3 linked regions of the Oryzias latipes genome follow. The main gene of each other region encodes a partner of the protein of the gene in region 3 in a complex. Links are inferred from orthologs where the notes say so. Each region holds a gene or a part of one and is shown on either strand. Other genes may lie near its edges. The genes, in order: rpl13a, heterogeneous nuclear ribonucleoprotein Q and gapdh.

What was found.
Region 1: gapdh (region 3) and rpl13a share a complex: the UniProt entries of both Homo sapiens proteins name them as parts of the GAIT complex. The link is inferred for Oryzias latipes from reciprocal best matches to the Homo sapiens genes GAPDH and RPL13A.
Region 2: gapdh (region 3) and heterogeneous nuclear ribonucleoprotein Q share a complex: the UniProt entries of both Homo sapiens proteins name them as parts of the GAIT complex. The link is inferred for Oryzias latipes from reciprocal best matches to the Homo sapiens genes GAPDH and SYNCRIP.

What each region holds. Positions count from the first base shown.
Region 1 is NC_019880.2:9,907,251-9,911,406, forward strand, and holds rpl13a (60S ribosomal protein L13a), read right to left. Parts: upstream 2,912-4,156; 5' UTR 2,851-2,911; coding exon 2,830-2,850; intron 2,218-2,829; coding exon 2,145-2,217; intron 1,953-2,144; coding exon 1,887-1,952; intron 1,841-1,886; exon of another isoform or gene 1,760-1,840; intron 1,694-1,759; coding exon 1,592-1,693; intron 1,498-1,591; exon of another isoform or gene 1,418-1,497; intron 1,337-1,417; coding exon 1,251-1,336; intron 1,094-1,250; coding exon 1,034-1,093; intron 842-1,033; coding exon 632-841; 3' UTR 584-631; downstream 1-583. UniProt on the Homo sapiens protein: Associated with ribosomes but is not required for canonical ribosome function and has extra-ribosomal functions.
Region 2 is NC_019882.2:1,562,426-1,565,920, reverse strand, and holds part of heterogeneous nuclear ribonucleoprotein Q, read left to right. Parts: coding exon 1-129; intron 130-230; coding exon 231-366; intron 367-456; coding exon 457-662; intron 663-1,248; coding exon 1,249-1,398; intron 1,399-1,484; coding exon 1,485-1,606; intron 1,607-1,690; coding exon 1,691-2,297; 3' UTR 2,298-3,495. UniProt on the Homo sapiens protein: Heterogenous nuclear ribonucleoprotein (hnRNP) implicated in mRNA processing mechanisms. Component of the CRD-mediated complex that promotes MYC mRNA stability.
Region 3 is NC_019874.2:20,246,240-20,250,425, forward strand, and holds the start of gapdh (glyceraldehyde-3-phosphate dehydrogenase), read left to right. Parts: upstream 1-1,378; 5' UTR 1,379-1,461; intron 1,462-1,757; 5' UTR 1,758-1,783; coding exon 1,784-1,806; intron 1,807-2,818; coding exon 2,819-2,918; intron 2,919-3,000; coding exon 3,001-3,107; intron 3,108-3,189; coding exon 3,190-3,280; intron 3,281-3,378; coding exon 3,379-3,494; intron 3,495-3,575; coding exon 3,576-3,657; intron 3,658-3,747; coding exon 3,748-3,899; intron 3,900-3,977; coding exon 3,978-4,056; intron 4,057-4,186. UniProt on the Homo sapiens protein: Has both glyceraldehyde-3-phosphate dehydrogenase and nitrosylase activities, thereby playing a role in glycolysis and nuclear functions, respectively.

The sequences.
Region 1 (4,156 bases), on a different chromosome or scaffold from region 3:
AGACTGAGAAATCTAGTCTGCACACAGTTTTACACAAGTGAAACTCTGCTCTTAGAATGAATTTTATGACCAGTTTTTGCCAAGATGGTTATTGTCAAGAGATTTATCTTAAACTACGAATCAAATACTGTCACTCCAAAGCTTTGCAGATTTGTCACTCTAAAATGCTGCAATACTGCCCTCTGCTGGTAGAAAACTCCATGAGGTTCCGAGAAATTTACTACCAGCTTCCCTCATAAACTATGAACCTGAAGCCATTTTTTTTTTATTTAAAGCCTGAAATATTTTTTAATATATGGAAAATCCATTAACCCTTTCACCATCACTCAACCACAATTTTGTGTGATTGTTAAATACAGACTTCTAGACAAAAAAAAGTAGCGGTGCAAGAAGCCCACAATGTTATACTGGGAATGCTATAGTTGTTTATCAATTAAATGCTTTTCCGATAAACTCCAGGAAAAAGTTCCTTTGATCTGCACAAGTTACTTTAGAGCATTAAATAGTCATCCCGTTTAATATGTCTCTTTAAATCCCATAATTAATCAACTGTACTTCAGGGCTGAGTAAGAAAGAATCAAAACACTTTTTATAAACATTTATTCATCTTTATTCGCCAGAACAAACCATTTTAGACAAGAACACCGTATTGTTTCAGAACATCTGTGTATTTTGCGATCTTGCCCTCCACGTTCTTCTCTGCCAGCTTGCTTAGCTTAACCAATGTCTTTTTCTTGACATAGTGGAGCTTGGCCTTCTCTTTTCTCTTCTCCTCCAGAGTGGCTGTGATAGCCTGGTACTTCCAGCCGACCTCGTGGGCGAGACGCCCAAGGAGAGCAAACTGAAGACAAACGAAGCAACAGAAACTTAGGCTCTGAAATTACTCAAAGAAATTGTTTTTATAAAAACAGAAAATTGCTAGCATAGAACATGTGTGCAATTATCACCTTGCTGGATTATGCTTTAAACAAATATTGACCTTTATCTGGCAACGGTTCATTAAAACATGGATTTATTTATTCTTAAGACTTACCTTGCGAGAGGGCTTCAGCCGCACAATTTTAAGAGCAGCTGGCACAACCACGCGCTTTCTCTGCAAGTCAAAACCAAAGATTTAGTAGGAATTTAAAAAACAAACATTTTCCACTGATGGAATTGCGTTGTCACATACATTTAAAAACTTTTTTTTTAACAAAAGATGTGATTTAAAAGTCAGACAGTTGGCCATAGGTCATCAAACAGTGGCACACCTTGTCATAGGGAGGTGGGATGCCATCAAACACCTTCAGCCTCTCCAGAGCAGCCTGGCCTCTCTTGGTTTTGTGGGGCAACATGCCTGTTGGGAGCAAAACATTCATCAATTTTAACGTATAAAAACAAACACTCTGGATCTTATAAACACATCAAATCCTTGCTTAACTCAGAAATCAGATCCGTAAAGTTTTGGATCATCAGTGATTCAATCAGATTCGGGATAAAAAAAGTTCATCATTGTAAAGCAAGGATCCACCTGATACACAACTGTTCTTTTGTCCCATGTAATTTACATCAATACACCAGTGTTGCACTATTCAATGTGTTCACACCCCACCTCTAACTGTCCTCCAAAAGATCCTGCTGGGAGCTCTGAAATGATACGGCCCACGAGACGGGTTGGTGTTCATCCTCTTGCGCAGGAAAGCCAGGTACTTCACTGTCAGAAACAAGTCAAACATTAAACTATGTTCTATCCACCAGAACGGCTGAGAATTGATGTATGCTTGTCTCAGATGGTAGTGCATGTACAATGTTTTCAAGGTCAATGAAACTCAAATACAAGTGGGAAAACATCACAGACAAACATTTATAAAATAAAAATTAAAGCCAAAATTTCAATATTGACTTACGCTTGTTGCGATAGAAGTTGCCAGAAATGTTGATGCCTTCACATCTCACTATAACCACTTTGTGCCCTAAAGAAAGAAAAAAAAAATGGACAAATTAAGAATAAAAAAATATAACAAATTGATCAATAATCCCAATTGTCCAAAATCTCAGATACATATAAAATTCTCATTGTCCTTAAAACTCAACCAAGGGAGAATGTGGAATCATCATAGATGGAGCCAGTAGCCAAATACCATTAGAGATCGTTTATAACTTACCCAGCAGAACTTGTTTAGCCACAATGGCAGCCAGCCGGCCCAATAGATGACCCCTGCCATCTATCAGCAGAACCTGCAAGGAGGATTTATTGTGTTAGTACACTGCGACATGTGGTCGAGGGGGTGTTATAATGAATTTACATTCAAATTACGGTGATTTAAATTTCTAATTGTACACAACTAACGGTGAACAAAAAATAACTCTTTATTAAACGAGGGGAAAACTCTTAAAAGCTACAAAATTTTAAATCAGGCCGGCTAACTTAACGATGATAGCCCCTAGCGTACACGTCAAGCATGCTAATGCATCAACTCCCCTTCCAAACAATACGTAAATATATCGTTACGGTAAGATATTACAGATCTTTCCTAAATAAGAAAGTAGCTCAATTAATTAATCTCAAAATCACCCAACTAAGTGCAAACTACTAAAGTTGACGTAAATAAAGTAAGGCTAGCAAGCTAATCAGCCCTTTTCTTAGGGAGGCTGCCATTATGAAGGCATGTTCTCTCGGCTTCTCGTCTCAAATGTTTCAAATTGAGGCTAAGAGAATGACCCGAAAATCACAAATTTGGAATCTATTGCAACACAAATGATCGCACAATACAAGTGAACCAAGGACAAAAGACCAGATACACTAAACAGTGAAAAAACAATGAATATGTGTAAGCAGCTTCCACGCACCTTATTGAACCGGTCCGCCATGATGAGCGAAAAGAAAGACGAACGGGGTTGCTCATGGTAAAAGGCAGGGGTGGCAGGAAGTGACGACATTTAAGTCTTTTTCATCCGTCTTTTTCGCACGTTCACATTTCCTCGAGAGCATGATGAGTGCCACCCATAGGCTGTAAGGTGCAACCTGAATAAATAATATTTAAAAAAGAAAACAACAATAATAATATTTTTAAAACAGTCTATATATTACCAACCCATATTAATTTTAGCAAGATAGTCTTTATAACAAATAAAAAAAAATCAACATACATAACTATTTGGTGCAAGATTTATAAAGTACGTTAAAAAACAGTACATACTTGAAGTTAATTGATTTCAACCAAACTTTATTGACACTTCTTTTCATGACACATCAAGGGTTCATTGTAAAACACATAATGACCCATCCATCCATCTATTTTCTATAACCACTCTGTCCCTTTTGGGGTCACAGGGTTGCTGGAGACTTTCCCCGCTGTTAGGTAAAGGGGGGGTAAACCCTGGTTGAACAGGTCACCATTCTGTTGCAGGGCACACAATTAACCTACGAAGAATGTTTTTAGACTGTGACAAAAAGGTCTAAGTGCCCAGACAACATGCAAACTCCACACAGAAAGGTTTCAGGTGGGATTCAAACCAGGGCCTTCCATTGCGAGGCGAACAAGACCGTGTAGCACAAAATGACCCATCATTTCTTTTATAAACTCATATTTTGGTTCACATTGCAGCCCTTAGCATGATAACCCAAGATACAATTGAGCAGCCTAGTTTGCCGAATACAAAGCCTGTTATGGTTTGACATGTAATAACTTTCTTCGTGTTTTGTCCTGCAACTCTCCAGTTATTACCTGAAATCACCTGTCTGATTAATTACTAAACAACTCCTTTGGTTAAAAATACTCATAAAAAGCAAGCCTTTCCCACCTTAACAGTTTAAAAAACATTTAGTTTACTTTTGCCATTTACTAATTACTCTGATCACTTTCAGTCAAAGTACTAACAAAAATTAGGCACAGAAGGCTCCAAGTGGGGATAAAGTAATAAGAAAGTAGCTTATTTTCTATTTGGAGAAGTTTTCAACTTTGACAGATTTTAAAGATACCACTTCTGATTACATCAGGCTTTAAAGAAATACCGTTAAATAACATGCAATGATCTAAAAACTGCATTTCGACATTTCTACTCTGTTTTACTTGCAAACACAAAACCCAAAGGACAGTAGTTTAACAGTTTGTGTAGTGAGAACAATGTTGTGTTGTTCTGAAAAAGCATGGAAGTGAAGCAAATGTAATTTCAT
Region 2 (3,495 bases), on a different chromosome or scaffold from region 3:
CCTCTCTTTGAGAAAGCTGGATCTATTTGGGACCTCAGGCTCATGATGGACCCCCTAAGCAGCCTTAACAGGGGTTATGCTTTTGTTACATTCTGCGCTAAAGAAGCAGCACAAGAGGCGGTCAAACTGGTGAGTTCATGGAGTTATTTTCAGACAAAAACTTTCATTTTCAAATTAAAATGGGCCGAACGGCCTGTTCCTGACCGTCATCCTGAAATGCCTTTTTACAGTGTAATAACTACGAGATCCGCCCCGGAAAGCACATCGGTGCGTGTATATCTGTCGCCAACAACAGGCTGTTCGTTGGCTCTATTCCCAAAAGTAAAACAAAGGAGCAGATTGTTGAAGAGTTTTCAAAAGTCACAGGTACGACCGGGGTTCCTGTCGGTACTTGAAGAACTTTCCTTAAATATAAATCTTGTGATTTATTTTGTTCTGAATCTTCTTTGTGTCCAGACGGCCTGAACGATGTGATCCTGTACCATCAGCCCGACGACAAAAAGAAGAACAGAGGCTTTTGTTTCCTGGAGTTTGAAGACCATAAAACAGCCGCTCAGGCACGGCGCAGGCTAATGAGTGGGAAGGTCAAGGTCTGGGGCATCCTGGTCACAGTGGAATGGGCTGATCCCATCGAGGATCCCGACCCAGAGGTCATGGCCAAGGTGAGCATCACCCTTTGAAAACCTGATGCTGAACTGAGAAACCCAATGCATGGAAACGCCTGCAGGCCTGTTCCTTTGCCCCCTTGGGGAAGGATGGGTTTGTTTGAATGTTATCTGGCCAAAGCGGTACTCTTCAAAAAGTGTTACTGCATGACAGAGTACTTAAAATGCTTAATGTCCTTATTTTTAACAGTCTGCAGTGCACCTCTGTTTTCACACACACAAGGAAACATATTTTACCTCTCATCGCCACGGCAACAGACTTTTTTCAGAGCAGTGCACATTATCCGTCGGGTAACTGTATTAGGATCTTCTGCTGTGAAGTACAGACAAAGCTGCGCTCGCTAGAGTAAAGCTCCACCCCCACAGCCTCACGCCTTCTCATAGGAGCCGCCCACAATCACTGGAAAGGCAATATTATTGGCTAGAGTTCAGTAAGACTGGAGAGTGATACGTGATATGAACGAAGCCCAGAAATCTGTTTTTAATGGTTCTGGTAATGCGGCACACGTTGGTACAAGGATGTCCTGACAGAAGGAAGCTGCACAGGTCTGATGGGAAAAGCGTTTCTCTATCTGTGTTGCAGGTGAAGGTTTTATTTGTGAGGAATCTCGCCAACAGCGTTACGGAGGAGATTCTTGAGAAGTCTTTCAGTGCGTTTGGAAAGCTGGAGCGAGTGAAGAAGCTGAAGGACTATGCCTTCATTCACTTTGAGGAGCGGGAAGGTGCAGTGAAGGTACACACTTTCATTCAGAACCAGAGCATTCTTTCTAAAAAACAACACAAAAGAATGGACCTAAAACTGACCAAACCTTCATTTAGGCCTTGGATGAAATGAACGGGAAAGAACTGGAGGGAGAGCCAATCGAGATCGTCTTTGCCAAACCGCCGGATCAGAAAAGAAAAGAACGCAAGGCTCAAAGGCAGGCAGCCAAAACACAAATGTATGAGCTGTTAAATCAGCAGGAAAGCCTTCCTCCTCCACAAATACTGACTTTATGCTTCTGATTTTTTTTCCTTTCTGTCAGATATGATGATTACTACTATTACCCTCCTGCTCCCCACGCGCCCCCTGCAAGAGGCCGGGGCCGAGGAGGCAACCGGGGTGGATACGGCTACCCCTCCGACTACTACAGCTATGATGACTACTATGACTACTACGGCTATGACTATCACAACTACCGCGGCGGCTACGAAGACCCCTATTACGGCTACGAAGACTTCCAGTCCCCGAGCCGAGGGCGCGGCAGCAGCAGGGGCGCCCGTGGCGGAACTTCACCGGCTCGAGGACGCGGCAGCGCCGGCGCGCCGAGGGGCAGGCCCAGCTTCCCCCCGCATGGAGGGCCTGGACCGAGCCGCGGAGGGCGGGGAGCGAGAGGAGGCGTGCAGCCGAGAGGGCGAGGAGGGGTACGTGGTGTTCGGGGTGGCCGCGGTGGAAATGTAGGAGGAAAGCGCAAAGCTGATGGGTACAACCAGCCAGATTCCAAGCGTCGCCAGACCAATAATCAGAACTGGGGCTCTCAACCCATTGCTCAGCAACCCCTCCAAGGTGGTGATCATGCTGGTAACTATTTTGGTTACAAATCTGACAACCAGGAGTTTTATCAGGATTCTTTTGGGCAACAGTGGAAGTAAACCAGTAAGGCTTTCATAAAAGGAAAGAATTTATCCTTTCTGCCTTGTTTTTTCTCATTTAGAGACTTGATCTAATTGGCCCTCTATTCCATTTTGTTGCCAGCTTTATTTTTTTGTTTTTTCCACTCAAAAGTTAGTGACACCTGGCAGGATATCTTTATGTATATATTTTATCGATCCGCTTGGACTCGATCTAGTCACTCTCACCTGCTTCTGGCAAACTGCATTTTTTTCCTTTGTTGTTTTTGTTTTTTTAAGGTGGTCGTAAAAGATTCTTCAAATCCAACTTTTCCAACATTTTTAGATGCGAAATGTGCTGAAGCTGTCTATTTGGCTGTAGCTTAATGTATGTTTTATAGAAATTCTGATTTTAATGTTTTAACTAGTTAAAATAAAAAAGCTACCAAGCTTCTGTCTCCTAAAAATGTATTTAATAAGAGTGAAATTACAATTTGTATTGTAAAAGTAATGCGTGTCTTGTTATTGAAAAGAAAAAAAAAAAAGGACAACCGTAGTCCTCATTTTTGGGCTTTACATTTTGGCTTGTATTCTTTGCTGTTTGTCTGCTTTAATAAACATACACGCACACGTGTACAAAAACTTCAAATTGTGTCGCAAATTCATGTTTCGGCAAATTCTCTTTTCAAATTTTCTTCAAATTTAAGGCTCCATGTGGAAGAAGGTGGACTGAAGGTTTGCCATTGTTGGCCATATGCTACAGTGTCACCTTGCATGCCATCCAGTTCCAAGTCACCTTCTGTAGTCGGCATCTCAGAGCTCTGTCTGTGTAGTGGCGTACCTCATGTCCCAAAACATCTCACTAATTGGTGTCCCAAATTCACTGTCAACGCAGCGACGTCAGAACGGCCTGGGGGGGGGGGGGGGGGGGGGCACAAAAGCACAATTGGATTGTAGCCTCAGACTGAAGCTTTTCCTGGTCCCAGAAGGAACTTTGCTGTTCACAGCGTGGAAACTAAACCTGCATGTTTATCTCCAGGTTTGGCGCCGGACTTGTGTTGGGAAGCAGCGCTTTGCATGCCTCCTCCCTGTAGATCTGATTTATGCCCTCATTCCTGCTTCACCCGTGTCTCTGCCATCTCAGCCTTTCCCCGCTGCTCCCTTAAAGTTTCCCGGCCAGAAGCGGCTAGTTTGTCAGGCGCCGGCGTGCATGTTTACTCTGCTTCTGTCACGCCGGAGC
Region 3 (4,186 bases):
GTTTGTTCCTAGCTATTATTGCACATCTCTGCAGGCTGGACTTTGTACCAGACAGAACACAAGTTGCACAAATGTACCTAAAAGCACCTTTTTACATGAACGCAATCACAAAGTCCCGTCTTTACAGCTTAGAAGTTTACCACTGATGTTTCTGCAGATGTTTGTAGCGAGTCAGTATGAACACAGAGGACTAACGAGTCCAATTTATGTCATGAAATGTTTCCATGTTTTTCTCTAAAATCAATGCATCAGTTTCGTTCCGACTCAAACGTCGAGGTGCTTGAACTGTTGTGAAACAGACAAAAGAAGATCACCACGAGGCAGCACTTGCAGCACTGAGTATATCATGGATCATGAGTTTGACTCGCTGCAATCTAATCTTAGCTTGACCTTTGCGTCCCTTCTTTGACCTTAAGCTGTAAAGCGGCGGCTGGGACTGGCATGCTTGCACTCGGAGGGGTTGTGATAGTTCAGCTATGCCAGGACCACTGGACGTCTGCCACCAAACCCGCCGTTGCTGCTCAGCTTCAGAGCAGAGAACCGTCTCTGCAGCCTGCTGAAACATGCAGAGGAAATCTAAGCGAGCGTTTGTCGGGTCTGGTCTGCTTGTGCAACACGTGGGGAAAATCTAACACCGTAATCTTGGGAGATCTTTTCTTTCTGATGTCAACATTGTTGACAGAACAGGGAGTCAAAAATAGACTTCGGAAGGCAGCTGGCATGCCTGAGCCTTGTTGTGTTTTGAGACTGGTGAAGAAAGCAAAGATTATTAATCTCTAAAAGATAAAATGTGCTCTTGCAGATTCCTTAGCTGCAGCACTTTCAAGATAAAGTTTTACTATAGAGCCGTTTCCAAATGTCCACACAAAAGTCACAGTTCAGGTGAGCAAACTGACTCCGACAAGTTCCTCTGCACGACTCAAGTTGAGCAACTGAGTTTCAACTTTTGACTTGAGCTGAGGGGATAAAACGGCAGAAAAAGAGGCACGGCAACAGAACCATTCAAGTGAAGGGTCATGGTCTTTGAACATTAAATGTCAGCGTCACTAAGCCAGAGATTTGATCCCCCATTTGCTCTCTCCATGTGTCTGCATTCAGTGAGAAGGTCAGCAGGGACCCCTCTCTTTTTTCAGCTGGAGGATCTAAATCAGGACCTCCAAATGCTTCAGACTAAACTGACAGCACATATTTTGAATTAGAATAAATGCTCTAAAGAGTTAGGACTGTAATTAAAAGTTAAATATGAAGAAGAATTGAAAGGAGCTTGACAAAAATGGGATTTCAGAGCCTGTGTCTGAGCAGCTAACGACCTTGACATTCACAGGGGGCGGGGTGAGGATCGGTGACCATTAAGGGGTGTGGCTTTGTCCTGAGGGGGCCATCATAAATACTCCCAACCAAACTTTGCTCTTCCCCACTCACACCCGGAGTCGCAAGACAGACAGAAGCGTCTCACAAACGGTAAAGGCTTCAGCTGTTTCTGGCAGCATGACTCTTTCATTGAAATCACCTGGAGACAATTGATGCAAAACAGTCACTTTGCTTTGTTTCTGCTTGATTGAAGCTGTTTAGAAAGTTGTAAAGTGTCATGGAGAAGTTGCAGCAATCAAAGTGATCCAAAAAAAAAGGACTTGCATGAATGTTTGAGGCCTTCTGCTCATCTTTCTGCCCAAATGATGTGTGATTTTAAAAAAAATATTTGTTGCATAGATTTCTAAAGGATGTTTTTTTTAAATTGTTATTCTTTAATCTCACAGAGGACTAAAGATCAACCCAGGCTAAAATGGTGAAAGTTGGTATCAATGGGTAAGAGCTTTTTCTCAACACTTCAAGCTCACAATGCCACATTGTTCTTGATGCACTTCAAATATTTCCTTTTTAATCATTTTATTTTTTTAATACATTCCTGGAGTGGTTTTGCAAAACGTTCCCTGAATTGTTTGATTTCTTAAAATAAGGATCTCTTAATGAAACTCTGAATGTTCAGACTAACTTTAGCAGAGTTCCAAGAAACCTTGAGGACACTTGATTTAAAGAACAAGCTCTGGTTTACTAAAGAGTTTTTAATTTTCCCTGGCGATCAAGACGTACATGGAGCTGAAGCAATTGGCATCCAATTTGAAGGTGGTGTGCAACATCTGAAGCAACAAGTGTCCCCTGATGCATTTGAACAAACCTTTGCGCCATCTGGATGTTTTTTGTTTTCTCTCAATCTCTGAACTTTGGCCTTTTGGTAGAAAACTTTGAGTTTGTTTCACCCCTTCAACTGGACAGACGTTTTCTTCTACTCTTGGAATTGAGTAGAAATGAAGCTGAATATCTCATTGGATATTGAACTATCACAATCCTGAATCTTTAGTGTTATCTGCCAGTCCTGCTGGCCTCTGTTTTAGACCAGGTTTTCAGGACTGTGGTTAAAAAGTAACCCGACCATTGATCAAACCGCAGCTGTGGCGTCATCAGGATTAACACACTGGCGGTTCTTCTGACTTTTGCCCCCAGAAAGGGGCGTGTGAGCATTTGAGCGGCATGCAGCCCCTCCTCATGAGCTCTGCCCTTTATCTGACTGCAGATTCATGTCTCCTGGGATGTTATGCATAAGCCAACGTGAAGGAAGGAAACAAAATGGGGTTCTTTCAGTGAACCGCGTTTGCTCGGGTTCACCTGAAAGTCAGCACTAGCGTCCCTTACTGAATGATTTCAGGTTATTAGGCATTGGCCCCTTTATGTCACTGCCACTCAGACATAACTGCACAGATTAGATGGCCTCAGGACGCCATCTAGAGGCCAGACTGATACTTGTCCTTCCACATTTCAGTTTTGGCCGTATCGGCCGTCTGGTGACCCGAGCTGCTTTCACCTCTAAAAAGGTGGAGATTGTGGCCATCAATGACCCGTTCATTGACCTGGACTACATGGTGAGTGAAAGACATTAAGTCTTAAATTAAATGGGGGGGGGGGGGGGGGGAGATCTTGTATTCAAGTTATTTTTGTTTTAAGGTCTACATGTTCAAGTATGACTCCACCCACAACCGCTTCAAGGGTGAGGTCAAGGCTGAGGGAGGCAAACTAGTCATTGATGGACACCAGATCACCGTCTTCCATGAGTGAGTTAATGTGCCAGTATTTAATAATCAGTGATTACTTTTTAGGACGACTAAAAGAAAGTGATTGGATTTTTCTTTGCAGGAGGGACCCTACTAACATTAAATGGGGTGAGGCCGGTGCCCAGTATGTTGTGGAGTCCACCGGTGTGTTTACTACCATTGAGAAGGCCTCTGTATGTATGCTCCCCTCTGGATATCATGATTTTTATTTATTTATTTATTTTTGGATCAAGCAAATGCGGAATAATCCTCTTTAAATCCCAAAATGCAGGCTCACTTGAAGGGCGGTGCCAAGAGAGTTATCATCTCTGCACCCAGCGCAGATGCCCCCATGTTCGTCATGGGAGTCAACCACGAGAAGTACGACAACTCTCTCACGGTTGTCAGGTAAGATGACTTTTAATCTACAAAAGGACCGTCCATTTTTGGATCTTACAGCTCTGACGCCAATGTTTCTGCTTTTCAAAGCAATGCGTCCTGCACAACAAACTGTCTGGCCCCCTTGGCCAAAGTCGTCCACGACAACTTCGGCATTGTTGAGGGCCTGATGGTGAGAGCAGACGCTCCATTAAACGATTTTTGCTGCTGAATGTTCAGACTCATTGAACCCACCTCCCTTTTTGTCTTGGTCTCTCTTCAGAGCACAGTTCATGCCATCACTGCCACCCAGAAGACTGTGGACGGACCCTCTGGTAAGCTGTGGAGGGACGGCCGTGGTGCCAGCCAGAACATCATCCCCGCCTCTACCGGAGCTGCCAAGGCTGTGGGAAAAGTCATCCCCGAGCTGAACGGGTGAGTCCTCAGTGGGTTTTTTAATATTACAGCATACATGCTGTCAGGGTCTTAATTAAACACTTAAAATTTCTACAGCAAACTGACCGGCATGGCCTTCCGTGTGCCCACTCCCAATGTGTCGGTGGTTGATCTCACAGTCCGCCTGGAAAAACCAGTGAGTGACCACAAATCCTTTTATTTTTCCTTCATATGGATTTATTATTATTATCCATATTATTATCACCAGGGATTAAGATGGAATCTCTTAATAAAATTAATCTGCAAAACTGTACAGTTTCTCAGAT